Nothobranchius furzeri: one gene and its partners. The protein of the gene in region 2 interacts with the protein of the main gene of each other region in a pairwise test. Links are inferred from orthologs where the notes say so. Each region holds a gene or a part of one and is shown on either strand. Other genes may lie near its edges. The genes, in order: rabenosyn-5, disc1, ccdc88ab, tnika, cep63, traf3ip1 and tubulin beta-2A chain.

The links.
Region 1: the proteins of disc1 (region 2) and rabenosyn-5 interact in a two-hybrid assay, tested with the Homo sapiens proteins (2 studies listed by BioGRID and IntAct). The link is inferred for Nothobranchius furzeri from reciprocal best matches to the Homo sapiens genes DISC1 and RBSN.
Region 3: the proteins of disc1 (region 2) and ccdc88ab interact in a two-hybrid assay, tested with the Homo sapiens proteins (2 studies listed by BioGRID and IntAct). The link is inferred for Nothobranchius furzeri from reciprocal best matches to the Homo sapiens genes DISC1 and CCDC88A.
Region 4: the proteins of disc1 (region 2) and tnika interact in binary tests that used the Homo sapiens proteins (3 or more experiments, as listed by UniProt). The link is inferred for Nothobranchius furzeri from reciprocal best matches to the Homo sapiens genes DISC1 and TNIK.
Region 5: the proteins of disc1 (region 2) and cep63 interact in binary tests that used the Homo sapiens proteins (3 or more experiments, as listed by UniProt). The link is inferred for Nothobranchius furzeri from reciprocal best matches to the Homo sapiens genes DISC1 and CEP63.
Region 6: the proteins of disc1 (region 2) and traf3ip1 interact in binary tests that used the Homo sapiens proteins (3 or more experiments, as listed by UniProt). The link is inferred for Nothobranchius furzeri from reciprocal best matches to the Homo sapiens genes DISC1 and TRAF3IP1.
Region 7: the proteins of disc1 (region 2) and tubulin beta-2A chain interact in a two-hybrid assay, tested with the Homo sapiens proteins (2 studies listed by BioGRID and IntAct). The link is inferred for Nothobranchius furzeri from reciprocal best matches to the Homo sapiens genes DISC1 and TUBB2A.

The regions. Positions count from the first base shown.
Region 1 is NC_091755.1:54,608,129-54,610,388, reverse strand, and holds part of rabenosyn-5, read right to left. Parts: coding exon 2,139-2,260; intron 2,027-2,138; coding exon 1,956-2,026; intron 1,870-1,955; coding exon 1,783-1,869; intron 1,692-1,782; coding exon 1,589-1,691; intron 272-1,588; coding exon 167-271; intron 90-166; coding exon 1-89. UniProt on the Homo sapiens protein: Rab4/Rab5 effector protein acting in early endocytic membrane fusion and membrane trafficking of recycling endosomes. Required for endosome fusion either homotypically or with clathrin coated vesicles.
Region 2 is NC_091752.1:2,333,753-2,337,252, forward strand, and holds part of disc1 (disrupted in schizophrenia 1 protein), read left to right. Parts: coding exon 1-10; intron 11-1,346; coding exon 1,347-1,416; intron 1,417-3,246; coding exon 3,247-3,403; intron 3,404-3,500. UniProt on the Homo sapiens protein: Involved in the regulation of multiple aspects of embryonic and adult neurogenesis. Required for neural progenitor proliferation in the ventrical/subventrical zone during embryonic brain development and in the adult dentate gyrus of the hippocampus.
Region 3 is NC_091752.1:26,282,881-26,286,953, forward strand, and holds the start of ccdc88ab (girdin), read left to right. Parts: upstream 1-1,273; 5' UTR 1,274-1,494; coding exon 1,495-1,557; intron 1,558-1,652; coding exon 1,653-1,753; intron 1,754-4,073. UniProt on the Homo sapiens protein: Bifunctional modulator of guanine nucleotide-binding proteins (G proteins). Acts as a non-receptor guanine nucleotide exchange factor which binds to and activates guanine nucleotide-binding protein G(i) alpha subunits.
Region 4 is NC_091758.1:22,730,007-22,733,940, reverse strand, and holds the end of tnika (TRAF2 and NCK interacting kinase a), read right to left. Parts: intron 1,075-3,934; coding exon 935-1,074; intron 813-934; coding exon 729-812; 3' UTR 501-728; downstream 1-500. UniProt on the Homo sapiens protein: Serine/threonine kinase that acts as an essential activator of the Wnt signaling pathway. Recruited to promoters of Wnt target genes and required to activate their expression. May act by phosphorylating TCF4/TCF7L2.
Region 5 is NC_091756.1:60,714,983-60,719,189, forward strand, and holds the start of cep63 (centrosomal protein of 63 kDa), read left to right. Parts: upstream 1-1,407; 5' UTR 1,408-1,560; coding exon 1,561-1,601; intron 1,602-1,701; coding exon 1,702-1,879; intron 1,880-3,439; coding exon 3,440-3,535; intron 3,536-3,614; coding exon 3,615-3,704; intron 3,705-3,773; coding exon 3,774-3,878; intron 3,879-3,989; coding exon 3,990-4,163; intron 4,164-4,207. UniProt on the Homo sapiens protein: Required for normal spindle assembly.
Region 6 is NC_091754.1:2,499,749-2,503,999, forward strand, and holds the start of traf3ip1 (TRAF3-interacting protein 1), read right to left. Parts: upstream 2,801-4,251; 5' UTR 2,702-2,800; coding exon 2,579-2,701; intron 1,025-2,578; coding exon 956-1,024; intron 334-955; coding exon 172-333; intron 1-171. Other genes in the region: agr1 (anterior gradient 1), read left to right, coding at 2,801-2,896, 3,376-3,479, 3,911-4,047, 4,198-4,251.
Region 7 is NC_091751.1:51,905,167-51,909,364, forward strand, and holds the start of tubulin beta-2A chain, read left to right. Parts: upstream 1-1,398; 5' UTR 1,399-1,536; coding exon 1,537-1,593; intron 1,594-1,882; coding exon 1,883-1,991; intron 1,992-2,806; coding exon 2,807-2,917; intron 2,918-4,198. UniProt on the Homo sapiens protein: Tubulin is the major constituent of microtubules, a cylinder consisting of laterally associated linear protofilaments composed of alpha- and beta-tubulin heterodimers.

The DNA of each region.
Region 1 (2,260 bases), on a different chromosome or scaffold from region 2:
TCTCGAGGGGCCCGTAGCAGCTCCCCATTGGCTGGTGGACGGTTTTTCTCAGACTCCTGTCTCCTCTTTAGAGACTCCTGAGCTCCCTGCTGAGCAAGAGATAAAAGTCCAGATTTAGAAACGAGTTTGTCCAGCGAAAAAACATCAGACTGGAACTTATTCTCACCAGTCGCTCTAGCTGGAGCCTCCTTTCTTGCTCTTGCTTCCTCTTGTCTTTCAGCTCTTCGTACTTCTCTTTAGTGGGTAAAGACATCAGGCCCAGCAGCTTCTCCTAAAACAGAGAAGACACAAAAAAGGGAACAAAAGTTCTAATAATCCTCACTTCTACTACATGTGAGGCAGATCTTTCACAACCCCACAATAACTAGCAAAGACATCCAACCCACTTACCTAGCACTGAGCCGATTACAGGTAAAACTATCTAACTGATTTCAACTTAACAATGCCCCTTTGGTTAGAGAGCATCTGGGGGCATCCTGGAGGGTCTGACACATACCGGCGAAACTCCAAAAATTAGAATACGGTGCAAAAGTTAATTTATTTATTTAATAAGTGGGATAGACTCCTTACATGCAAATCCAGATATTTCAGCCTTTATTTGTTGTAACTATGGTGATAATGGAGTGCAGCTTATGAAAACTACACATTCAACATCTCAGATGATTAAAATAATGTGAAAAGTCAAAAAGAGTCAATATTCTAGACTCAGAGTGTCACACTCTAATCATCTAATGAATCCAAAATACATGCAAAGGGTTCCTGAGCCTTTAGATGGTCTTTCAGTCTAACTGGTCTTCCAGGCTGTACTGTGAGACCTCTTCAAATGGTCCAGAACGCAGTGGCATGTGTGGTCTTCAATCAGCCAAAAGAGCACACGTCACCCCTCTGTTCATTGAGCTCCACTGGCTACCGCTAGCAGCACGCATCAAATTCAAATTGCTAACACTAGCATACAAAGTCCGAGATGTACGGCTCCCATCTACCTGAATCCTCTTGCAAAGGCTTACGTCTCGGCCCGGCCGCTCCGGTCATCACAGGGTCGTCGGCTAGCAGTGCCTACACCACGCTCAGGACAATCCACTCTTCTCATGCATCGTTCCACAAATGTGGAATGACCTTCCAAGCACTACCAGAACAGGGGCTTCCTTTTCAATTTTCAAGAAACTCCTGAAGACCCTGCTCTTCAGAGAGCATCTTCTTAACTAGCACCTTGCCTGCACCCGTTCCCCCTCTCTACTGTCCACTCCTTTGTTCCCTACTCTCCATGACTGATGTCAATGTTGTTGTTGTTATTGTTGTTAGCCTCAAGGCAAAATGCCGATTATCACTTGTAAGTCGCTTTGGACAAAAGCGTCTGCTAAATACATAAACATAAGTTGGATTACTGACATAACTGGACTTTTGCTCCATTTTCCCAGATGGTAGCTACAAATCCATTGGGTTGGCAGATTGTATCAAACATATCAAACACATTTTGATAAACTTCTGAACTAAGCCACGATTCCCAGCTCTTACATGTCCTCTTTGGCTAAAACTTCAGTTTGGCTTTTTTGTGTTTAAGCCATCAACTGTCTTCACTTGGTCTCACCTGGACAAAGAGTGTTGCCATGTATCGTATCATCCTCTGAAGCTGGAGTGCTTTCGGGGGCGACGGTGGGTTGTTTTTAACTCCTAGTGTTAAAATCTTCTTGCTGGGGAAATTAAAACCAAAGATTTCTGTTGAACTCTTAAACTTAGACAGCTGTGTTTCACTTTGAAGTATTAGTGACAGCGTATGTGTACCTTAGAGCATCAATTAGTTCATAGTACTTCTGGACTTCCAGCCTCAGTCCACCTGCCGTGTCAAGATTGTAGGTGGTTTCTCCGGCACTTTGGCAGGAAGAAGTAAAACATTGTCAGATTAAAATGAAAACAAATGTGAAATGGTTACATCAATACTTTTTAATAGTGCCTACTTGAGAGACTCAGCCATTCGAATATACTCTGGAGCTTTTTCTTCCACCTTCTCCATGCACATCCTGAGTCTCTGGCAGGAAAGCCCAGAAAGTAAACAGGAAGTGGCAGGAAGGATACAGCAGTGTAAACAAAAAGAACAGAACTGTAGCTGAAGGGAAGTTTTCTGGGACTGTTAGACCAACCTCATAAAGTTTCACTACATCTGGAACGTGATCCTTCTCATCCAACTTCTGCTGTCTCTTCAGCAGCGTGTCCATGCAGTGGTGACAGCAGCGGATCTTCTCATCGTCCTTCTCCTCCAGAA
Region 2 (3,500 bases):
CTACACCAAGGTGGGTGACACTCATCGTGTCTCTTTGATTCACACATTTCATGCTACAGAGTTAGCAATCATATAGGTGGCCAGTAATGAAGATCAGAAGTGGGATCAAAACCAGGATCAGTTCAGAGCAGAATCTGAATCAAAATAATGATCAGGATCTGATTTTTTAATCAGATCAAAATCAGGATCAGAATCAGATCAGTTAACAGAATCAAGATTATTATCTTAATTCGAATCAGGATCTGAATCACAACCAAGATCAGAATCAGGTTTGGAATCAGAATCAAAATCAAGATCTGAATAAAAGTCGAGATCAGAATTAGGATCTGAACTTTAATTTGGATCAGAATCAAGATTATTATCTTAATCAGAATCTGGATCTGAATCACAACCAAGATCAGAATCAGGATCAGAGTCAGGATCCAAACTTTAATCTGGATCAGAATCAAGATTATTATCTTAATCAGAATCTGGATCTGAATCACAACCAAGATCAGAATCAGGTTTGGAATCAGAATCAAAATCAAGATCTGATTAAGAGTCGAGATCAGAATCAGAATTAGGATCTGAACTTTAATTTGGATCAGAATCAGGATTATTATCTTAATTTGAATCAGGATCTGAATCAGAATCAGGATCCAAACTTTAATCTGGATCAGAATCAAGATTATTGTCTTCATTGGAATCAGGATCTGAACCAGAATCAGGATTAGGATCAGATTTTGAATCAGAATTGACCTCCTCAGCAAGGAGACAAATATTCCAAATAAGAATCAGAATCAGTTTTAGAATTGAAACTGGTATTGGGATTATAATCAGACTTTAAATCAGAATCAGAATTAGTAACAAAATCAAATCTGAATGCAAATAAAAGTTAGAATTAAATCCAGAATCAGATTTAGGATCGGTTCAACAGACCAAATGTGAAGCACTCATAATGAATTTGGCTCTGGTTGTTAGTGACTCTTAATTAGATTACTCATTTACAGACATAAATCTTAATCTGGGTTAACCCCAACCTTTTAACCTCAGAGTTCTGTTGTCAGAATCAGACTTTTTTTGAGCCGAGTGTGAAAGACACACAAGGAATTTGGCTTCTGCTGGCGGTGGCTCACAAACAGAGCAAATATTTACTGACATAGCCTAATATAGAGGCAGCAAACAATGCAGACAGTGTGTATACACGTTCAGTAGATCTCTGTGCTCATGCTGTTCAGACGCAGATTTCATTCATGCTTAGATAATAAACACAGTCACACATTTGGGGAATGCATCATAACTATAATGTGAAGCTTTAGTGATCTGATTATAATAATCATAACGGTGTGTACCTTTTCTTCTCAAAGATTGAGTCCATGATGTTAAAGCTGCAGCGACTGCAGCAGAAAGCCATTCTGGACGACGATTACGATGCAGGTAAACTTTAAACTAGTAATGAGTAGAACTGTCGATCCCTCCCTCCCTCAGAGGGTCGCATGCGTGCCGAATGAAAACTTTTGTCTTTAACCCACATCACCTGCATTATCCGTAGATTTCAAATGAATGAAAAAACGGTCTGGTCAGAAACAAAGCCTGGCTCTTCTACGTCACAGGGAAAACTAGTATTCATAGTCCCCGCCTACCTCTGATTGGGACCGCCCATAGAGAGAGCAGAGCGCGTTTTGGCTAGTAGAAGCTAACCATTAGCATTAGAAGCTCCACAACAAAAAATAACACCTTCAGGTTTGTGTTATTGGTGGAGATAAAACACCCAAGTTGTGTTTTTATTTTATTCTGAGTTTTGATAACCCTCCCACTGTCCTAGTGGGTGTGACCCCGCGGGGCCACACCCACTAGGACAGTGGGAGGGTTAATAAAGTAAGATTTGTGTCATCAATCGTTGTGGGAGCAACAAGTCATCTCCATGCCGTGTTTTTCTTCAGTTCGGCAACTAAACCAGGTGATTTTAATCAGCACAGCGAAACAACCTTGTTCGGTTGCTGAGCAGAAGAAAATCACGGCATGGAGAAGACTTGTTTCCCATCTCTGCTGTCAGCAAGTCAGAGGTTGTATATGTTTGTGTATCATGACTATTAAAGGCGTGGTTCACTGAAAAAACATTTTTAATGACTATTTCTGATCATAATAAAGGTCAAGAGCAGCACCTCCCAAAGTTAGCATCACAGTTTGAGATGAAGCCTAGAAATCAGAAACAATGAAATAGTTATTAATTCCATATTTTCTCTGTAACTGATGTGTATATAAATAACAACACAGATGCAATAGTTATTTTACTGTTAGAAATATTTTCAGCTCTTTAGGTTTGAGTAAACACTGAGAAGGATTGAAATCAGACATAGGTCCCAATTGTATTTTTTTTGTTTGTTTTTTAACCAGAACTGGGAAAGTTAATCCTATTATCAGACCGTCTTAGTAACTGAATCTAACTGCCATGTGGGATCAGAGTTTTGGCAGAATCTTTTTGGAATTTTGTCCTACTTCCTTTTACTTTGGGAAGTGTTCGTCTTTTAATTTTAAGCCTCTTTATACATTTATTTTATGCAAATATTAACAGAATTTATTAGGGATGCAACAATACCACAGTTTTCCAAACGGATACTGATACTTGGATCTGAGTACTCACCGATTACCAATACCGATACTTTACCACACAAAAAATGCAATGAAATTAATAAAATATAAAATATTCTATATATAAAAATAAATGTATCAATAGAAATGATCACTAAACGAATATATTAGGTGAACAGAAATGACAAGTTACAGCGAAGCCACTTTCAAGCAACTGCATTGGTATCGGTTCCTGGTATCGGTCAACTTATACCGATACCAATATCGGTATCGGTGCATCCCTAGAATTGATCATTTTATGCATCTTATGTTTTTATTGTTTAAACTAAACATCACAACCATCCAGTTCAATTCTCTGTTCAGATATTTACGTCTCTGCTTGACCCAAATGCTTCCCTTCCAGACCAAAGGGAAGTTTATTTTCAAAAGTGTTGTGACCTATTTCTCGATCCTCGTGACATAAACAGTTACATCAGATACATCTGCTGCAACGTCTGGGTCAGAACAGCACAACTGATCAAATTTACAGTTTGCTTTTTGGTAAAAATGAACTTCAGATTTATTTACTCTTTGTTTTCCGACAGATGTGAGAGATTGCAGATTACAACAGTAAAATATCTGTTTGTGCTTTGTGTACCAATCAATGTGTGTGTGTGTGTGTGTGTTTTATTTTAGCTGAGCGCTTTGGGAAGAAACTGGAGGAGCTGTGTAGAGAGCGTGGAGCCCTGAAGCTTGGTTTACCCTCCAGACAGCCCAGCGTGGCTTTGTTCCTGGAGAGGCTCAGACAGGTGGTGCACGGCGCCATCCAGAGGAATGACTGCAGTCAGCGCAAGTCAGTAATTCAACCACACCACATGCATCTCACAGCAAGAGGGTTCCTGTTTCTCAGCTGAGGCTTTCAGGTTGAATATTTATGCAGTAAAATAAAA
Region 3 (4,073 bases), about 24 Mb from region 2:
GAAGCTTTTACGGTTCGTGCCTTTTTCTTTACAGCAGCGGCCCAAAAAGATCTCCTAACACATGGATTTTCTAATTCCTGATCATGTGATGTGTGACATACACAGATGAAGATCAGCGAGCTGAGATGTTTGTTTTCACGTTGCGGGGGCTCATTCCTACGCCCACACAGTAAAAAAATGCAAATGATGACTTTAGTCGTCACTGGCAGTTGGATTTAAAATGATGACTTTTGTCGTCAATGGCAGTTAATGAGTTAATGAAGTTTTTTTAAGTAGCACAGTGACCAGCAGACGGTTGATGACGCAATGCTCCCTGTCCAAATTCTGCAATCATTTGCACACTTGTGCACCACACACTCGAAGCCTTGCTGTGCACTTCTTCCAAGCACACTTCACAGAAGGGCACAGTGCGAGTATTGGGATTGGGCCTCATTCTCTATTTCCCCAAACTGAGGTTGTTAAAGAACCATCTGGAACAGGAAATGCATTATTCAACATCCCCACAGACCCCTTCTAAGGATCTGAATATTTTCAACCTTTTTTTTTTTTTTAGATGTTTATATAGTGATCTGTGACATAACCCACCAGGTGTCAGTATTTTACCTCCATTATGATGTCTAATGCATGCTGCAGAGGCAGACAAAGGAAGTGCATTTATGCACTGTTACCCTGCATTTCTGCGTGGAAGTTAAACCAAATAAGCACTTAAATAGTCAGTATTACACACTGAGGTTATGAATCACAAGATTGGAGTTTTCATTCACTTTTCTTTTGAGACAAAGTGGTTCCATTACTCGCACTCAAACATGAGTGAATTTATTTTATTTGTTTGTTCACATGTTGACTAAGATCTTTTTTCTATGACTCAGAGGAAATCAGAGGAGAAAGGGAACGCTTTGATTAATGCCCTACTTTTCTTTGGGAGGAGGAGGGAGATGCGCAGGGAGGGAGGCGCGGCTCTACGTGTCCTCCAGTCATCCTCTCAACTCTCCAGCAGCAGCTCGGTGGTGTGCGGCGTTTGGACGCAGACAGCCAGGAATCCGCGTCTGGAAGTCACTTTATTTAAAAAAACAACAACAACAAAAAACTATGAGGTGGAACCCGATCATTTCCGAAGCTGGATTTGCAACATCTGTTTATTTTTCCCTCGCAGCTGGACCTTCTTTTACATACCCGAATTAGGATTATTTCTCATCTCTTTTCGTCGTTTAAATATTGAACGCAACGCGGACTGATCCTTAAATAACAGAAAACCTTAAGGGAATGCGGTTTTTGAGCACAAAAATGTGATTTCTTCTTCTCCCACCCAGGAAGAAGTCTCGTCGGCGGCATCTCCAACAGCTGGGTCGGTTTGAGAAAATTAGTGATTATTATTATTTTTTAAATCCTCGTAAAGTAAAGCCTGGATTAAAACGTGGAATTATCAACATGAGAGGAGTTTAAATCATTTTTTAAAAATCCCAATTTGTTTGAACAAACGGCTGAAGGTTAAATATGGAGAACGAGGTTTTCACCCCATTACTGGAGCAGTTCATGCTCACCCCTCTGGTCTGCTGGGTAAGCACCCTAATTAAATATGCTAATGAGTGTTGACTCATTAAACAATCACCTTATTTCGCCTGTTAATTGATCGCACTCCTTTCTTTTTCCAGGTGAAGACCGTCGGGCGGTCGACAGTGAGCGATGGCAGTAAATTATCGGAATATATGGAATTAGTGGATGGGATTTACCTGAACGAGTTCATGCTGGAGATGTAAGTAAATCTGAGAGTTGGAGAGCCGAACCGGTCAGTCCTCTGAGCTGGCCTACATAGAGGCACGGAATTAGCCAATTGAGGGCATGCAGACATCAAACCAGAGATGTGCAACAACCTACAGTCCATGTTTTATTGTTATTATAGTGGAGGAGGGTTAAAATGATGGTCATCCTTACACGAGACAGCAGCCTCTGTCCAGTTGAGCTGAATGGAGGCTGCTCACAAAGAGGACCCTGTGTTGGTGGGAGTGGGTCAGATATATTAACACTTAAGATGTCTTTTGAGCTTGTGTACACCGGTGTCAGCTGCATGGATGCAGCATGCCTCAGCAGAAAACTAGACTCATTCCCTTGAAGCTGCACCCTGCTGTGTTGTTGATTAATCCTAAGGAGAAACACTCTTCCCAGCACACACACCATGCATGAAAATTTTAACTTGGATGGTGCAGGGAAACAAGAGCACGTTTTATTTTTATCTAATTAAAGAAAATGTAGCTTATTTGTAAGATCTACTGACAGTGCTGGATTTGTGAAGGACTGCATGTCGAATTTGTCTCTTTCCTGAGACCGTTTCTATATGTGGCATGACAGGAGAAAGATTTCTACTTCTTTGTCTGGCTGCAGGTTGCCACTTCCTGCCAGCATGATCTGTTAAAATACATTTTTTTTTCCATATTTCCACTAATGCCAGACTCTCCTGTCAGCTTTTCCCCTGCTTGCCAGTTTAAGGAGCATTCAGTTTTGCCTGCTCCCTGATGAATAGGTTTAAAAGGGATTTATGTGCAGCACATCTCGTGTTTCCTCCCATTGGTTTGAGCCGAGACAACCTCATATCTAATGTATTTGTAGAACATATAGTTGATTGATCTTATGCCTTTTTAAAGAGTGAGAACAGTTTACGTACAAAAAACATGCTTATTATTGTAACAAGTCACATTTATAGCAATAATAACTTGACAGGACAATTAAGAGGACACTTGTTTTGAGCTCTCCGATTGTCCGTTTGCTATAAGCTGCCTCAAGTTTCAACAACCTCTTCCATCTCCCTCTCCAGTGATTTGGTTCTACTCCTGAGTGCTTCTAGTCTCTCGCCGGCTCCAAATAGAATCATGTTTAGGAAAGCAGTTTTTAGGTTTAGAGCTTTCCTCGTTTACTCTGTGTGAAAGAGTAAAAACTGTATTTCCAGTGCATTTTCCCCAGTGGAACATTGGGTAATGGGTAAGCAACTGGAAGGATATGGGGGAAGGGTTGGAGAATGAAGCAAGATGGAAAAACCAAAGGACAATAACCTTTGACATGAAAAAGACAAGTCTGGGGTTTACAAATGAATATGTGCTACCCAGATACGCTGTAGGATCTCTGTGCTTATGTGCAGTGGTGCTTAAAAGGTGGCTAGAAGTGAACTGAAATGAACCGTGGTTTGTCTGACAGGATGTTGGGGATTGGTAGTCACAGCCAACACTGTGCTTCTGTGCATGGATATCTCCGAGGCTTTTGAGTGTGTGTGGGAGTATGTGTGTTTGTGGATTTTTTTTCCTTGCACATTTGGTTATGGACTGAGGCAGCTGTTGGTAGTCGTCTAGCCCAGCCACCCTCCCACACACAAAGCACTACAGTACTGGTCAGAGCTTGTGTTTGTGTCACTGGTCTTTGTCTGTTTTCTCACTTAATGAGAAATGGGTCTCAGTGACGGATATATCATTTGTTTACACATCTACATCTGCTGCTGAGACATTTTCATCCCCTGCTGCTGACAGGTGAAGTGCAGACAATGTTTTTGTCTGTTCTTTAGCAAAATGTCATGATTCACTGGATGGGTTTTAATTGAAACTCACAAAAAGTGATCAGTGAATGAGCATCTACAACTGACTATTGAATCCAGGGGTAGACTTCTTGTTGGTCCTCGTCTACACAGTCCACATAGGTCAAGACCTTCCTCGATCACCAAGACTTGAATTGAGCGGCTGTGAATTTGGTCTAGCTTTCATATTTATTGCCGTCCCCACTGCAGCATAATGTCTTTTTGCCTAGCAACCGTGATGGCGCTAAGACCCTGTCCCAATACTCACACTTCCACTCTGGTGCCCCTGGTGCAAATGCAAAGGGTGTCCTAATTCTCCACAGTGGATCTTGGCCCCACCCCTTTATGCAGCTTTGCTCTGCACTTTGTTAAAGTCTGCACTGATGAAGACTTGTATTACCCACAATCGGTTGCTGTGTGTCAATTCTGAGACAAAAATACATAAAAAAAAATTTAGGTCAGAAAATGACCGCCTGGGAAAATTACAGTTTTAATATAGTTTCACTGTTTTGAATTG
Region 4 (3,934 bases), on a different chromosome or scaffold from region 2:
TTGACGTGCAATATGCGTCATCAAGTGTCAAAGACTGACTGACTCAAAACTATTTCATGAAGAAAGAAAAAGACTGAAATATTACTGATGCAGCACCTTCAGATTTTAAAATAGCCAAAAAGAGGAATGGTTGGAAGAAAATAAAGATGGAAGAAATACTGTTCCAGAGTGGGGGGGCTACTTCTCTGAACTGACGCGAAGAGGTGAAACGTCTTAGGGCAACAAGAGAAGCCCAGAGCACCAGAAATGGAGGCTGCAGCTTTCATCACATACATTCAAACAACATTTGTAATCTTTTCATTCCAAAGTACTTTTGAATTTAGATTAAATTCCATTCATTCACTCTAGTTTCCGTACTTTGTGAAAAGGAAATTAAGGAAAATCGAGAACATGGCAGTGAGAGTACAAAAGCGATGATGGGATCTGAACAGGGAGAAGGGAATAGAAAACTCTTAAATCCAGTGGAACAAAGTGCTGTTACAAAAGAAGAAGATGGAGGAAGTCGGTTCCAGTCATTTGAGTAGCGTCTGCATGATCAAACTCACCATAAAATATTTAGTCTCTTCATATATATTTTTCTTCCAAACCGTAAAAGTCTCTCCAGTGTTAACAGAGTTCTTTAATGGCCGCCCTGATTAGTCAGGTTTGTTTTGTTTGATGTGCAGCGAGGCGAGAGGTGGGTTTTCCGACTGTCCGTCGGATGAGTGAGGCAGACCGGATGAGACACATCACCAGTTCATCATAGAGTTCCTGTTGAGTGTCATAAAGAATACTTGGCTGCTGCCGCCAGAACGCACCGATGCAAAAAAAACCTGGAATAAAGAGAACATAAACACAAATGTTTATTTCTGTGGATTTCTGTCATCTATAGTATCAAATATACCCGATCGCTTGTGTCATCAGAACCACCCTCTAGATTCTGTGTTGTAATTACCTTGTCGTTCCGCTCACACAGAAATTTGAGTCTCTGAGCTCGTTTGTGCATGAAGACTCCGTCCAGATGGCCCGTCTCCACAGAACGGATCTCTATGGCTTTCTCACCCCAACCCATTATCTGATTCGAACGGATATAGGCTGGAAAAAAATAGCAGAAATTTGCAGAAATGTTTTTAAAGATGATATAGTTGCAGTTGCAAAGTCACGTCTTTCTGTCATATTTGTGGGGGGAGATCTAAGGTTTCACAGGCATTTTGTTGAGCAACCCCTGTTGTTATTGCACATTACACAATATAAAAAGTATATTACTGAGATAGGTTTGACATCAAACAAGACCTCTGAACTCTGGAAGTCAAGTTCATGAGCCAATATTTTATCTAAAAAATTACATTTTCCATTAACTGTTGAATGGGCTGCGCAATGGTTAGAGCTGTTGCCTTGCAGCAAGAAGGTCCTGGGTTAGCTTCCCGGCCTGGGATCTTTCTGCATGGAGTTTGCATGTTCTCCCTGTGCATGTGTGGGTTCTCTCCGGGTACTCCGGCTTCCTCCCACAGTCCAAAAACATGACTGTTCGGTTGATTGGTCTGTCTAAATTGTCCTTAGGTGAGAGTGTGTGTGTGTGTGCATGATTGTTTGTCCTGTGTGTCTCTGTGTTGCCCTGCGATGGACTGGCACTCTGTCCAGGGTGTACCCTGCCTGATTGCCCATTGACCACTGGAGATAGACACCGGCACCAGCCCCCACCCCCCCTCCCTCCTTTATTGTCTTATTTTGGTGAGCCTGTGATTTGTAGTCTCAGGCCTAGTCCACACGTGGCCGGGTTTTTTTTTTAAAATCCGCCCCTCCAAAAACTTGCAACCACACCACCTCGTTTTTAAAAAAAAAACTCTGTCCACATGTACCCGGATAAATACGTTGTTAAGGACATGCCAGACCCGTAGGCGGCAGTACTTCCCCCATTCTTAACCTCGTCCTTCGTCTGTGGTCTTCCGCAAGGAGCAGTAATTCTGCTTGCAAAAACAAACGAGCAAAAAGTTCTTGGACAGTTGATAAAGCGAGCGCAGCTCTGAGGGCATCCATGCTGTCGGCTAGTGTAAACACAGGTCGCACACGTGATGTCAGCATTGTTTGTCGCGGAAAGTGACGTTGCGGACCTTAAAACTCCGGTTTTGTCCGTCCACACGCAGACACCCAAAACGGAGAAAACGCAGATCTTCACTTTGGCCGGAGTTTTTAAAAAGATCAATTTTCGTGTGAAAAAACTCAGTTTTCGTGTGGATGACAGGCCAAAACGTAGAAAAATATCTACGTTTTGGCAGATCCCCGGCTACGTGTGTACAGGGCCTCAGTCTCCTGTTCTTACCTGACAGGAGTGGCACCGGTGTGATCTTCTGCTGCTGTAGCGCTTCTGCCTCAAGGTTCAATGTGTTGTATGCTCAGAGATGCTCTTGTGCATACCTTGATTGTAACAAGTGGTTATTTGAGTTACTGTTGCCTTTCTATCAGCTTGAACCAGTCTGGCCATTCTCCTCTGGCCTCTGACATCAACAAGGCATTTTCACCCACAGAACTGCTGCTCACTGGATGTTTTCCCTTTTCGGACCATTTTCTGTAAACCCTAGAGATGGTTGTGCGTGACAGTTCCAGAAGATCAGCAGTTTCTGTAATACTCAGACTAGCCCGTTTGGCACAAACAGCCATGCCATGCTCAAAGTCACTTCAATCTTTCTTCCCCATTCTGAAGCTCAGTTTGAACTGCAGCAGATCGTCTTGAATGTCATCATGCCTAAATGCAATACGTTGCCACCATGTGATTGGTTTTTTAGTCATTTGTGTTAACGAGGAGTTGGACAGGTGTACTTAATAAAGTGGCCTGTGAGTGTCCATGCAGCTGCATTTGTCTGCACGTGTAATCCCCCTCCCTGCCAAATGAGGGCAGTAAATCACAGGGAATTTAAAAGGTCCAGAGATGCATAAGTGGCTGTTTCTGCCTACCAAACTCCCCCTTCTTTCCTTTCCACTGGTAAGTCTGATTATTTTATACAACTTTTTTTATTTTTTGTTCTATAATATTCTATAACATTATTTTTTACCTTTGATCTGCAATAATCAAGGCTGCTCTTATTTGTGGGGGCCTTTCAAGTGTGGATGGTGCTATGAAACAAATATAGTATTCCATTAAACCTCTAGTGACTCCTTTAGCACAGGTCTGAGAAAACACAACATCTTTTATCTACAGGAGTGTCACACACACACACAGAGAGAGAGAGAGAGAGAGAGAGAGAGAGAGAGAGAGAGAGAGAGAGAGAGAGAGAGAGAGAGAGAGAGAGAGAGAGAGAGAGAGAGAGAGAGAGAGAGAGAGAGAGAGAGAGAGAGAGAGAGAGAGAGAGAGAGAGAGATTGTCCCTAGCCTAGTTCCTGTTCAGACTCATCTGACGCCTACAACAAACTCAGGATATCTAGTACATCCTCATCACAGGCAGCACCCCCAAGTAATAAATCATTAGAAGGGGCAGCTGAATCTATCCACTAGGAGAACCACCACTCTTTCTGAAGAAGGCAAGACCAAATCAACCCAAATGATTTACATGATTGTCTGTCTAACCTCGAACAGGGGGTCAAACTACCTCTCTCCTGTCCCATGGACTACTTTGGGACTAATTTGTCCTCAACCATCATTTAATTCCTTTCTAGGGCAAATATTGCAGCATGTAAAGCATTTCTTTAATTGTCAGGGTTTTTGTTTTTGTAGTGCTTTTAGTTGAATAAATTGTTATTCGTAGAAGTATTGTCCTTTGTATCACGATTCCTAAAATAATTAATTTATTTGAGGAATCATAGGTGAAAGAAAGTTTGACTTGAACCATCTAATTTAATAGAAAATATGTAAATACATTAGTTAATCTTTAACTAATTAATTGATTAAATTACAAGTAAATAAATTGTTTAAAATGTATCTAATATTTTACATTAAATACCAATGCAACAATGGTGTTTGA
Region 5 (4,207 bases), on a different chromosome or scaffold from region 2:
CCTCTGAGATGATCCGAGTGAGTTCCGATCTAAAAGTCTGTCGATAGGAAAGATGTCAGAGCTGATGTCAAAGTTCCAACGCTGTCTGTCTTTCAATCAAATATCTTCAGTATTAGAAACCGTTTTAAAAGGGAAGAATTTGTTTAGAACCAAATTCTATGTTCATTTCAAATACCATCAAAATGAATCACTTAAATCCTAAAGTTGGATGCTGTTGGTTTTTTTATAAGCTTGAGTGAAACACAAAACAGCCATGGTCAGATAATAGTTTGTAATAAAACAGATTACTTACAGGTGATGTGTGTATCTGCGGTGTTTTCTTTTAGGTTTGTGCAGCTCGGTGTCTGTGCTGTGAATGATGTCAGAGAGCAGCTTGCCTGCCTCCTGCTAGAGCGTCTGTTGCGTTGGTGGGGGCGAAACAGCCAAAAGCCCTCCCATGAACAGCTGGGGATGCAGAGCGGAGGAAACGCTCTTTGTTTAGTTTGAATGAAGGCAGGTGGAGAGATGGGTGAGGAAGGGGGAGTGGTAAAGGAGGGGTTGATGAACGTTCCAAAGTAGGTGATGTGTTTTGCTTTTTCCTTAACCATAACACATCCTGATAAAATGTTTCTCAAAAGACATATAAAGAAAACTTAGCACATCTGGGAATTGAACCCGGAGTCTCTCGCATTCAATATGAGAATCATACCCCTCTACCAACAAAATGCTGATGTGTTAAAGGAACATATGTATATTGTAGGTAATAAATGTTTCATGTTTTCTTGACATTTGTGCTGTTGAAGCATCGGTTCACGATGACACCTTGCTCGCGGGATTGCGGTAAAAACGGAAAAGCTATCATGATATCCCTCTTCCCTAGCCATGGCCAAGCAGATAATTTATACAACACTCACGCAGCGACACAGCGACCAATATGTTCGGACAGCAGACCGCCGAATTTTCAAATCACATTCTAAATGACCATGCTAAAAATTATGGGCTCGTCCGGGATTTGAACCCGGGACCTCTCGCACCCGAAGCGAGAATCATACCCCTAGACCAACGAGCCACGTGTCCGGGAAAGACACATAAAATAATTTAAAGTTAATTTAAAGTGATATGTAGTTTTTCTGTAAATGTACTGTTTTAAAAGTATTATTGTATTTTTACACACTATAATAGAATGTCTAATTTCATGGAATTTCAGACGTACCTTCACGTTACACGACATCTGAATCTTAAGCCGTGAGATTAATGTGTTTGTTTTTTCTTTAATTTTCCCTCCCAAACCTTATTTTTAAAGTCGAAGACCAAATAATAAATTACATTTTTTAAAATGTTGCCTACGTAAAACGTAATGAGGTCACAGTTAGAAGGCGGATGTACCGCCTTGGAACCGGAAATTCTTTGTAAAGAAAAGCAGTTGAACGCCGAATAGTGTTGTTGACGTAGCGATGTCATCAAACTTGTTTATACTCTACAACGTGCCGGTCTTAGCTTGTAAGGACAATCTGGATAGAGTCCACCGTGTTGTAGCACCTTAGCGCGCAGAGGGGACAGACGGCGCCATTTTTGAACGAGATGGAGGTTTCTTTGGAATCAATACAGAATCCTGATATAAGGTAACAGACGTTTGGTTTGTCGTGAGGCTAAGTCAGCCATCTTTAGATGCGTGTTTACACAAATGAAGTTGATAACACGCTTTAATCTTCTGCTACGCAGCTCTGTCCTGTCCTCATGCGAGCCTGAGCTGCAGGAGCTGATGAGACAGATTGACATTATGATCAATCATCAGAAGAGGGAGTGGGAGGCTGAGCTCCACGCTCTGCAGCTCAGGGTCACCAGTGGAGAAGAAGAGCTTTTAACCTCCAAGACTACCATTGAACGGAGGGATCTGGAGGTGAAGTGACGATTCATCCTTTTTTGCTCAAAAGAATCACAAAAGTAATTTAATCAACACAGAAGCTTGTAATAAAAAAGCAAGCATGCCCTTATTTTGACATGCAGCATTTTGAAGGTAACATTTTTCCATCCCATTTCCAATTCCAAACATGGACTCTCCTGCTAAAACAGTTTTTATGGCCACTGTCTCCATTTCTGGCCTCACCTAATGTTGGAGACTTACTAAATTATTCCTTAAATGATCAGAAAGCCTCTGCTATGAAGATTCGTTGTACTCTCAAAACAAAACCTCCTGCAGATTCAATTAAATGTTTCAAAAATAAATGTAAATGTGTGAGGATGTTGGTTTTAGGACATGTTTTAAACCGTAAGGAAGGAGACAGTAAATAGTTGTGGCATGAAGCATTTTATCTCTATTCCCATAATAACACCATCACCTATTCAATCAATCAATCAAACTTTATTTCAGACAAGGGATATGTCCATAACAAGAATAAAAAAAATAAAAAATAAATAAAAAAATAAAATACAAACACATTCTAATTACAAACCATATAGGCAGTTGCTCCAATGTTTAAAAAGGACTGAGGAGTACCTCGTGTCACTGTAAGATAAAGATGACAGAGCTCTAACAACCGCGTTAGCTGACAAACTCAGTCGGCAGATGAATTTGTACATGAAGAGCCTCAGAAGCGCATGAAAAGTTGGGATGTTACTCGTAACAAACATGTGACTTGCCGAAGTCCATCTAGGGAGCTTCATGAGGATTCTAAAAGCATCCTGATAAGCCACTTGAAGCTTCTTCATTACTACCTTACTATAGTTGCACCACAAGTGGGCGGTATAGAGAGGAGTACAAAAGGAACGAAAGAGGGACACTTTTACAGGATCTGAGCACATGCCAAAGTTACGTGCCAGAGTGTTAGCCTGCATGTACAGCTTACCACACTGCCTCTTAATGTCCTCGTCATCACAGAGGTCACTTCTTAAAATGTGCCCCAAATATTTTACTTTGCTTACCACTTCCAGGACCTGATTTGTTAAGTTAAAAGATGGAAAATTAAGCTTCAGGTCCCCTTTAGTAGCAGCAATCATAACCACACTCTTTTTAGGGTTAAACAGGATGTCAAATTGCTCACCATACTTAGCACATGCCCTGAGCAGCTGCTGCAGGCCTGCGCTATAGGGAGACATGAGGACTAGGTCATCTGCATATATTAAATGATTTACCAGTCGGTCACCCACCAAGCATCCAGTCTTACTAGCATTCAGAGTAACAGACAACTCGTCAAGGTACAGGTTAAAAAGGACAGGTGACAGAATCCCGCCTTGTCTGACTCCATTTGATACGGAGAAAGGTTCAGACACTTCTGTCCCCCACTTTACCTGCATCAGTTGATGAGAGTACCAGAAGTGCAAAATCCTAACTAGGTAAGAAGGGACCCCTCTGTTTTGTAGCTTGATGAATAATTTCTGATGATTGACTCTGTCAAAGGCCTTAGAGGCATCTAAAAAACACATAAAAACAGAAGTATTATGCCTCATGTATTTGTTGCAGATTGGACTTCTTCACAAGCAGCTTGAAGCCGTTCAGACGGATCGGCAAGAGTTGGTATCCAAGTACGAACAACAACTAAAGAGACTCCGTGAAGAGGTGTGATCATCTGTTTTTCCTCAAATGCACTCAGCTATATCGCTTGTATCATGTTTATTGTTAACATCGTTTCTTATAGTTGGACAAGTTGAAGAGAAGTTACCAGAAGCTTCATCGCAAACAGCTTAAGGAGACAAGTGGAGGTGGAAAGGAGACTGAGCTTGCAAAGGTGAACTAATAGATTTTCCTGGCATTTCCATCTCCTGGAATTTGATTAATCGTTCTTACATTGGTGCAGAAGCATCAGCAGCGCTCTGAGCAGCAGCGAACTCGGTACCAAAACCAGCTGACCACACTGGAGCTCCAGAATAAAAGCCTGAACCAGGAGCTTGCTCACTTAAAGGTTAAAAAGCACATTTATGACTTTCACTCAGGAAGCCAGACATATTTAGTGTATAAAAGTGTGGAAGACTGCTGCATTGTTGTTGCATTTCAGTAATATTTGTTTTTCCAGAGCCAATGGGCATCGGGGCGGGTGGAGAGGGAACACAAGGAGTGCTGTTCAGAGGTGCAGCATCTGCGTGCACAGCTGGAGAAGGCTCAGGCCAGCCTGCACTCACAGGAACTGGAACTGGATCGCCTCAGACCGCTGGAGGTGCTGTTGGGACAGTCCCAGAGAGAGCAGCAGGTTAGCAGGGCGACAGGAACATGTGAGATGTGTGGCTTCTCAGC
Region 6 (4,251 bases), on a different chromosome or scaffold from region 2:
GAGTGTGAGTGTGTGTGTGTGTGTGTGTGTGTGCGTGCGCGCGCGTGTGTGTGTGTGTGTGTGTGTGTGTGTGTGTGTGTGTGTGTGTGTGAGTGTGAGTGCATGTGTGTGTGTGTGTGTGTGTGTGTGCGTGCGTGTGTGTGTGCGCGCGCGTGTGTGTGTGATGCAGACCTTATTGAGGCAGCACTTGCCGATGGCCTGAAGCAGCTCGTTGGTTTTCTCCGGCTCATGGCCGGCAACGATCCGTGCGGGCTTGGCCGCCAGAGGCTCGCCGGTCACCAGCATCACGACATCTATCGCTTTCTGAAGAAAGGTTATTTTTGAGTCCTTTTCCTAGAATGAGATATAATGAAAAAAGCCGTTACCGAGACAAAAACATTTAAAATATAAACTGATTAAAGGCAAAATCTAAATAAAATTGGTTCCATACCAAAAAGAAATGATGACATCATTTGTTTTGTGCAAAAGCAGGTCAGTAAACTGATAAACCAAAGACCAGGAGGACTTGTTGGTCAAACTGACTTCTCTGCACTCCTGACAGCTGAAGTGATGAAACTGAAATATGAATCTTACCCCCAGAGTGACTGGGTTTAACCGCTTGTTACCTCGTTGTTCGAGGGAGGAAATGTAAAACACAACACTAACAACTCATTTCTCTCACTAGTAAGAAACGGGCAGCGTGCAGCTACGTTTGTAAGCAGAGAAGACTCGGTGTAGCTCTCTTTCATTCAGTCCTAATCAAGGATCGCCTTGCAAATAGCAGACTAGCATTCTGACACCTCGACAAACACTCAGTCTCTGCCTGCCAGATCTTCTAGCTCACAGTGTTGCCAGACGGCGTATCTGGTGACTCAGGCTGCCCAGTGAAAACACACGGGGGTAATCCTGAACAAATTAGTCTTTTCAGGGGAAAAAAAGGTCAAAAATCAAGTAAATATAGCAAGAGTAAGCTTACCTTTACACTATCTGACTTCATTTCATTTTCTCCATAGAGGCCTTTCAAAAAACCAGTGCTCCTGATTACCTTAGAGTCAAGAGGAAAATAAAGGTTTACTGTTATTATACAAATATTATAGGTGCTTCTGCAAAACCTACATCATTCTAATACAAGTTAACACAAAATGTTTTTGATTTTATGGAAGCAAGCTTAAAGCAGACTTATGGCTGCAAAATGTTTTAATTTTCAATCAAGTATGTCTTAAACAACTGAATTCCTTTAGTCAGATAAAAGAATATTGCTATAGGAATGCTAACCTCAATTAATTATAAATAAAGCTAGAGTGAAACATAAAACCATCCAACCAGTGTGGTGAGAGAATAAGATCTCAGTTCTGTTTAGAAAATAGATTTAGTCTCTAATCTGTTAAAGAAAAGAGTTAAAATATGAGTTTAATTGTAAAAAAAACATGCTTTTAAAGAAAATATTTTTAAAATTACATTATATATTATGTATTATTTAGTTCATGCAGTTATATACATTTTGCTAATATATCCTGTTTGTGAATACCCGTTCTGCTTTCTTAAGCATGTACACAAACACAAATGTACGATTTTATTTTTTACACAAACATGAGCAGAAAAAGGGTTTAACACAAGAAGCTGACGTCATATTGTTCTACACACATCACACACACAGATGCTCAGTTATGGGAAGAATAATAACCTAAATAATTTAGGTAAATAATGAAAACACACTTTTTCTGCACAAATACTCATTCAGTTAGGAAATGCTCGTCAGTCAAAAATAAATCAGGAAAACAGCAGAGTGGCTCATCAAAATAAGAGCATCTAATGATGCCCCAAACACAAACAGTACGACAGACTGCACTCTACAATATATTATGATTCTAATTCTTGTGTAGATACATTATTCAAATAAATAGTATTTTAAACCGGTTTTTGGTTATTTAAAATCTTAAATATTCTAAATTTTCCTTATTCAGAAAACGTCAGTTGCCAGAAGATAACAGGAAAATGTTTGATGTACAAAATATGTTGCCTTTGTGTTTTACCCTCGTTCTGCCATTTCTACTTAGACAAGAGTAAGTTTTGTCTTAAGAAGGGACAATCATTGAAATAATAATACTTTTTGACATTTACACTGTCATTATTTGGAGCTGATACTACAAATAAAATACAAATTTTAATATTTATCCAGACCTACGACTTACACTGGTGAATCCTACGTTTGTAAACATCTAACATCTAGATGTCGATCAAATGTTGCTGTACATTAAATACAAAAAGGCAGAACTTATGCATCCAACAAGACAGCTGTGGTCAGCTGCTCGGCAGCAGGTGTGAAGCAAGTACAACCTAAACATGTACAGTCATAATAATGAACGTTAGCAGCTGCTTGTCTTTAACGCGTGTTCGCTCTGGGTGCTGAAGAGGAGAAATGCAGTGATACCGCTTTTGAACAGCTGCGGTTAAGCTAACTCGCTCCTGGTGAGGGTTGTCCGGTTAGAGCTATCCCTTTCATGGACACAGATAATAAAGCACACGCAAGGGCTTCATATACAGTTTTTAACTTTATAAAATGTCTTTAAACGTAACTGTTGTCCTTAGTCGGTCTCACCTCACTGATGATGTCGTGAAGGTAACGAAACGGCGGTTTGTTTAGCAGTTTTTCCGTTAACGGCGGCTTCTTTATGACTTTCCCCAGCGTGTCCTGAGTCCTCTTCACCACCGCTGCGTTCATGGCGGCAGATGAAATCCCAACTGAACAATTTAGCTGCTAGAAAAGGGGCGAAAACTGGTCTAAAACACGAATGCTAGGCGGCTCTGGGGCTCCGTTGCTATGTCAATATCCAACAATCCCACAGTGCACCGCGAACGAAAGCTGCGCATGCGCCATAGGCTTTCGGTTGCTAGGTGTTCTGTGTCCATAGCAACGGTAGCTAGCTATGTAGAAAGAAACGAAATAAGGAAAACGATCGTGTATACAGCGCATCTCCAGATAAAAACCACGACGTGCTTCACAAGAACAAAAATAAATAAAGATTAGGCCGACAGACAGACAGACAGATGATAGATAGATAGATAGATAGATAGATAGATAGATAGATAGATAGATAGATAGATAGATAGATAGATAGATAGATAGATAGATAGATAGATAGATACCTAAATTTTATTGTTTTTATTATTGTTTCCTTATTCACAACAACACTTAATTTCCATCTGGGATTAATGAAGCATTTTCTAACTGGATTTATTAAACAAGCACTAATACTACATTTAGAGTCAGTGTTTCAAAGAATTTTATTTATGAAAGTATGAATTATGAAATCGTATGAAGGTGTGCCCAAACTTCCCATGCATGCAAATATGTCTCATATAAGTCATAGACCTTTCTTTGTGTTTCATTTAAAGCAGGATGCTTGTTTTACCCGTTTGGCAAGTTCGGTTAAAAGTCTGACAAAAGGTAAGGTGAGAAGAACAGCTCAAACAGACGCTTGCTGCTTCACGCTGGACAGGTAAGACATCCACTACGAGTGACTTCAGTAGCCAAAAATCAGAAAATTCAGATTCAGTTTCAGCTGGAAAGTTGTTCGCTGCTCTTCAGAATAGAAATGTAATGCTTAAACCATTTAATGCTACGTAAGGGCTTGCAAAGTTACATGCTGTTTCTTTCAAAAAGAAAAAAAGGTACAATAGTTCATTGGATTGAGATTAAATAAGAAGCTGCATTAATACATTAAGACTCATTCCTATTTTGATTACAGTAAACAGCTGTGATGATGTCATCCATAATAAAATAAAATATAAAAATAATAGTAACATAAAACAAGCTTCCTTCGCGGCATCATCGCGCCGGCCTGTCAGACTTGTTTGGTGACTCAGAGCTGAAGCCCTTCAGTGAGCTCTGCGGGTGTAAGAGTTCAAAAAATGCTTTGTGCTTTAAAAGTGCACGCCTTATTCAGCTGTCTGGTTCTCCAGAGGACGAGGAGATGCTTCACTGGGCTGTGTTTGCTCTGCTGATCGGCGCTTGTGCCGCTGCAGAAGAACAGAAGAAGAAGGAGAAGGCTCCATCTCTGTCAAAAGGTGGGTCGCTCTCATTCAGCCTCCATGTTTCTGATCATTCATCAGTCAGATTGACCGATTTAGTCCCAGCACACAACCTGAGTTTGAATTCAGCTTGTGAAGGGCGCAATAAAAGCAAACAGGACATGTTTAAATGTATTTTCTGTTCAGGATGGGGGAATAATATCAAATGGGTCAAAAGTTATGAAGAGGGCCTAGAAGAAA
Region 7 (4,198 bases), on a different chromosome or scaffold from region 2:
AAAAACAATAAAAAAAGGGAAAATCATTTGGGATTTAGTAGTTTATCTAAAAGGTAGTGACTCGTTCTCTTCTGCAACAGAATCCCGTGACAGGGAGGATGTTAGTGCTGGATTTCGTAAGGAATCAGTCAAATGAGCGTGCTATTGCAAGTGTTAGTGTTTGTCTCAGTGTGTGTACGTGAGCATTGAAGCTGTGTTTGTTCAACACCTCGTGCAAGATCTGTGACCAAGCACACATTTAGTGTCTCCTCTGAGAACTGTTACTTCACCTTCTGCCACACAGCTATTTCAGCGCTGGAGGGGCCACATCTCATCCATGCTCTCAATTTAGATATAAAAATTTTTCATAAATGCTACATTACCACCAGCGACAGGGTAGATTGACAGACATTTGTGTTTTGCGGAGGGGAAAGACAAGTTGAGGGTTTAAAAAAATGAAGGATCAGAAATCCTAGCACAGACTGGTGGAGCTAGTTTTGGAGAGGAGGCAGAAACGCTGCACACATTTCAGGTTTTGCTTTCTCTCAGCCGTGCAGATTTGAATGAATGTAACAACCATGGATTGTACACTTGTTTGGTTTCATTTTGTTATTTTAACAGGCATATTGCACTTGTATATAAGCCATACCTGTTGTTAAAATAAACCATTATTTATTGATGAAGCTGGCTCTGAGGGATCTGTTGAATATTTAGCCGTTTTTTTTTCTTTTGAGATATTAAAGATCTTGATCTCATGAAAAATAAGTATTTTTCTTGTAAATTATTGCATTTGCAGCTAAGAACTGATTATCAACCAAGCAGAGCAGAAAATGATCAAATATATTCAAAATCAGCTCATTGCTGTACCAGATGGACCTATTGAGTGAAGACGAGTGATGTTTTTTGTTCATATGTCACTGAATTTATCACAGAACCAATTAAACAAAGGGGCTAACAAATGTCCAGACTCTGATACTTTATTGTTTTTGGTCTTTTATTTGGGCAAAAAGCAAATATTTAAATGCAAAAATTTATTTTTGAGTAAATACAAAAATAAAACAATGCAGGCAAGTCAGACTACAAACTTTGTGCCAGAAAGCTGCAAAAATTGTTGAATAATAAATAAAATCCGTCGTTATTTGTGGAGATTACATGTTTTGTGATGATTTTTGTTTAGACATGTTAATGAAAATGTATTTATTTGCTTGTGTCATCATCCAGACTGATTTGTTTGACATTGTACTGATCATGTGCAGAACAGTCTCGATCCTGCAAAAAGAGGCGAAATTTTCCATGTTTGGGACAGGGTGGTGTCACGGGGTGCAGGGGTGGGTGGGTGATGCGGCAGGATCCTCCGCTATACTGCATCAAACCGGACAGCTCCTATTGGCTGGAGCGGATGCTGCGACGCGCTTCGCGTCATCCGATCAGCAGTGCGTCCATCCTGCTATTTCATCGGCACTCCACTGAAATTAAACAAGTGCTGAATCTGAGAGAGACAACAACAAACCGACGGAACGAGAAAAGGAAGCACCGAGTCCGCATCTGCAGCTCAGCATGAGGGAAATCGTTCACATCCAGGCTGGACAGTGTGGAAATCAGATCGGGGCGAAGGTAGATTATTATTATGATTACTATTCTTTATATGGGGTAAAACTGCGTGTTTGACTTTATTAACAGTTGACAAAGTCAAGTCGTTAAAATCATTAAAAAAAAGTTTAAAACTGCTGAAGCAGCTGTGTTGAAGGGTGGGGTTCAGTTCGTCTGGTCCAGCGGCTGCAGCGGTGTGGCCCCCAGCTGAGTCCAAAAGCTGACGCACATGCTCCAACATCGTTTTCTGATCGTGCATGTTCTTTAAATCGCTCCCAAACAGACAATCCTACACATATTTGTCTCATGTTAGTTCTGGGAGGTGATAAGCGATGAACACGGCATTGACCCTACCGGCAGCTACCAAGGTGACAGTGATCTGCAGCTGGAGAGGATAAACGTCTACTACAATGAGGCGTCAGGTAACAAAGCCTGTTTTGCATCCAACACTGTTGACACGATCATTGCATGCTTTTAGCTGCACATAACTCGGATAAATACAACATTTCCATATTTTAGTTGAGCAATATTTTAAAAAATGGTAAAAATAGGACAATGAGCTTGCTAAAATCTCTCTCTCTCTCTCTCTCTCTCTCTCTCTCTCTCTCTCTCTCTCTCTCTCTCTCTCTCTCTCTCTCTCTCTCTCTCTCTCTCTTTAGGGAGCACAGGTATCTGCAGTCTCTGCTGACTTCAAGCAATTTTCCTCAAGTATCTTTGGATGTGCATGGCATGTTTAGTTCCAAATGCATCTTTCTTTTATGTTCTGCTTCTAATTGGAGATTGAAGTTGCAATTTTTGGTTTTCATAATTCAGGATTTAGACAAATCAAACATCTCATTTACGCCTTGCAATGAAATTAAACACAGCTGTCTTGTTTATCCTTGGCGTGCATGCTGATCCGTTTGTTTTGAACGCATGGGGAAAAGAGCATATAAATGCCTAAAATAAGATAGATTATTAGGGTTTTGCAACATTTAGTTCAGCAGTGAAGAGGACTGCTGAACGTTTGTCTGAATTCACTCTGCAGAGATCAGCACATTGAAAAGCCCCCTGGTCCTGAAGAAGCAGCACAGCATGCTGCAGCAATTTGCTTGCAAGAAGTGACAGCCCCACTGAATCAAGAAGATAAAAGTTATTAAAAAAATAAACTGTCTTGACAGGATTTACTTTTAAAATGCAATGCAAGAAAATGAAATAAATAAATGCATTCATAATTTTTCTTCTCTTTTCTGTAAAGGCAGCAAATATGTCCCACGTGCCATCCTGCTGGATCTGGAGCCTGGGACCATGGATTCTGTACGCTCTGGGCCATTTGGACAACTCTTCAGACCTGACAACTTTGTCTTTGGTGAGGGAGGGTGGGGGTGGGGGGTTAATCTAAATGCAATCACTCATCTTGAACCGGCTGCACATGCAGCATTAAGTCAGCAGCTGCTGTCACATCCTGTAAATCAGTTCCTTAGATTCACCAGACAGCCCCACACATCTCTGTAATGTAATAATACACCGCTTCTGAAGCATCTAACTAATATGTCACTATTATGGGATGCTCTGTCTACAGGCAGCAGCTCTGACTCTGATGTGCCTGGAGACCTTAATAAATATAATCTCCCCTCCAGAAAACATGAATGTATGATTTGTGTAGAAACACGCTGAAAGTAAATGTAGCCAAGTTGGCCAAGAAGTTAGTTCCTCTGCCTAATTTCTTTAGGTGTCAACAATTAAGTAATAAATCATCGGAACCAGCAAATAATGCAATTGCCAAATAATTTTCAAATATAGCAATAAAAAATTATGACATGTGTAAAGTAATTTTTTTGCTCACAGTGACGAGACTTTGCTGTTCTTCTTGTGTTTTGAACACAGCGAAGGTGTTTTCATATAGTAACATGCTAATGTACGATTTGTAATCATAACTTCAGTCCCAAATGGACATGTTTTTGACCCAGGATTAACATTAAATATAATGTTAGCTTCATCTGTGTTGTTCTGTGTTGACATACAAGCTACAACAATGGAACGCATTTCAATTACAGGATAAACACAGCATTATGTAGATCATTTGCACTTGAACATCATATCAAAGATCAATTACAGTCAAAGACAAATTTTAAAATCATGTTTTGAACAAACAGTCTGAATAACCGTTAAAGCTAGCTCTAATGCTACTCCCAAAAACCAGGGTTCAAATTACGGGGGAGCCACGGGGAGCAAGGCTCCCCCAAAAGGGTGATGGGCTGCCCCAGAAGGCCTCAACAACACACCCAGGGGAGCTTGTAAGTATTTGGAGCCCTGCCGGAAATTAATGAGAGGGTTAATATTTCATACCAAAAATGGATTTGATCAGACAATAATCATATATCAGATCCTTAAAACACAAATATTTGTACAACCACAGCATCTATATCCTGTAACTATGCAGAATTATACAGACAGTCCAAATAAATGCACTTTCCCACATGTTATGGGGATATGACCTCACCTGTTTAGGTCGTTCTAATACCAGTGCTGAGCCCAAGGAAAACTGGTCATCCAGGTCTGGAGTCAATGTGGCAATTACAGAACACATTGCATTGCTTTTTGCTGCTTTTATTTTCTGCTTCTTAATCATCAAGCATTACTTAATTTT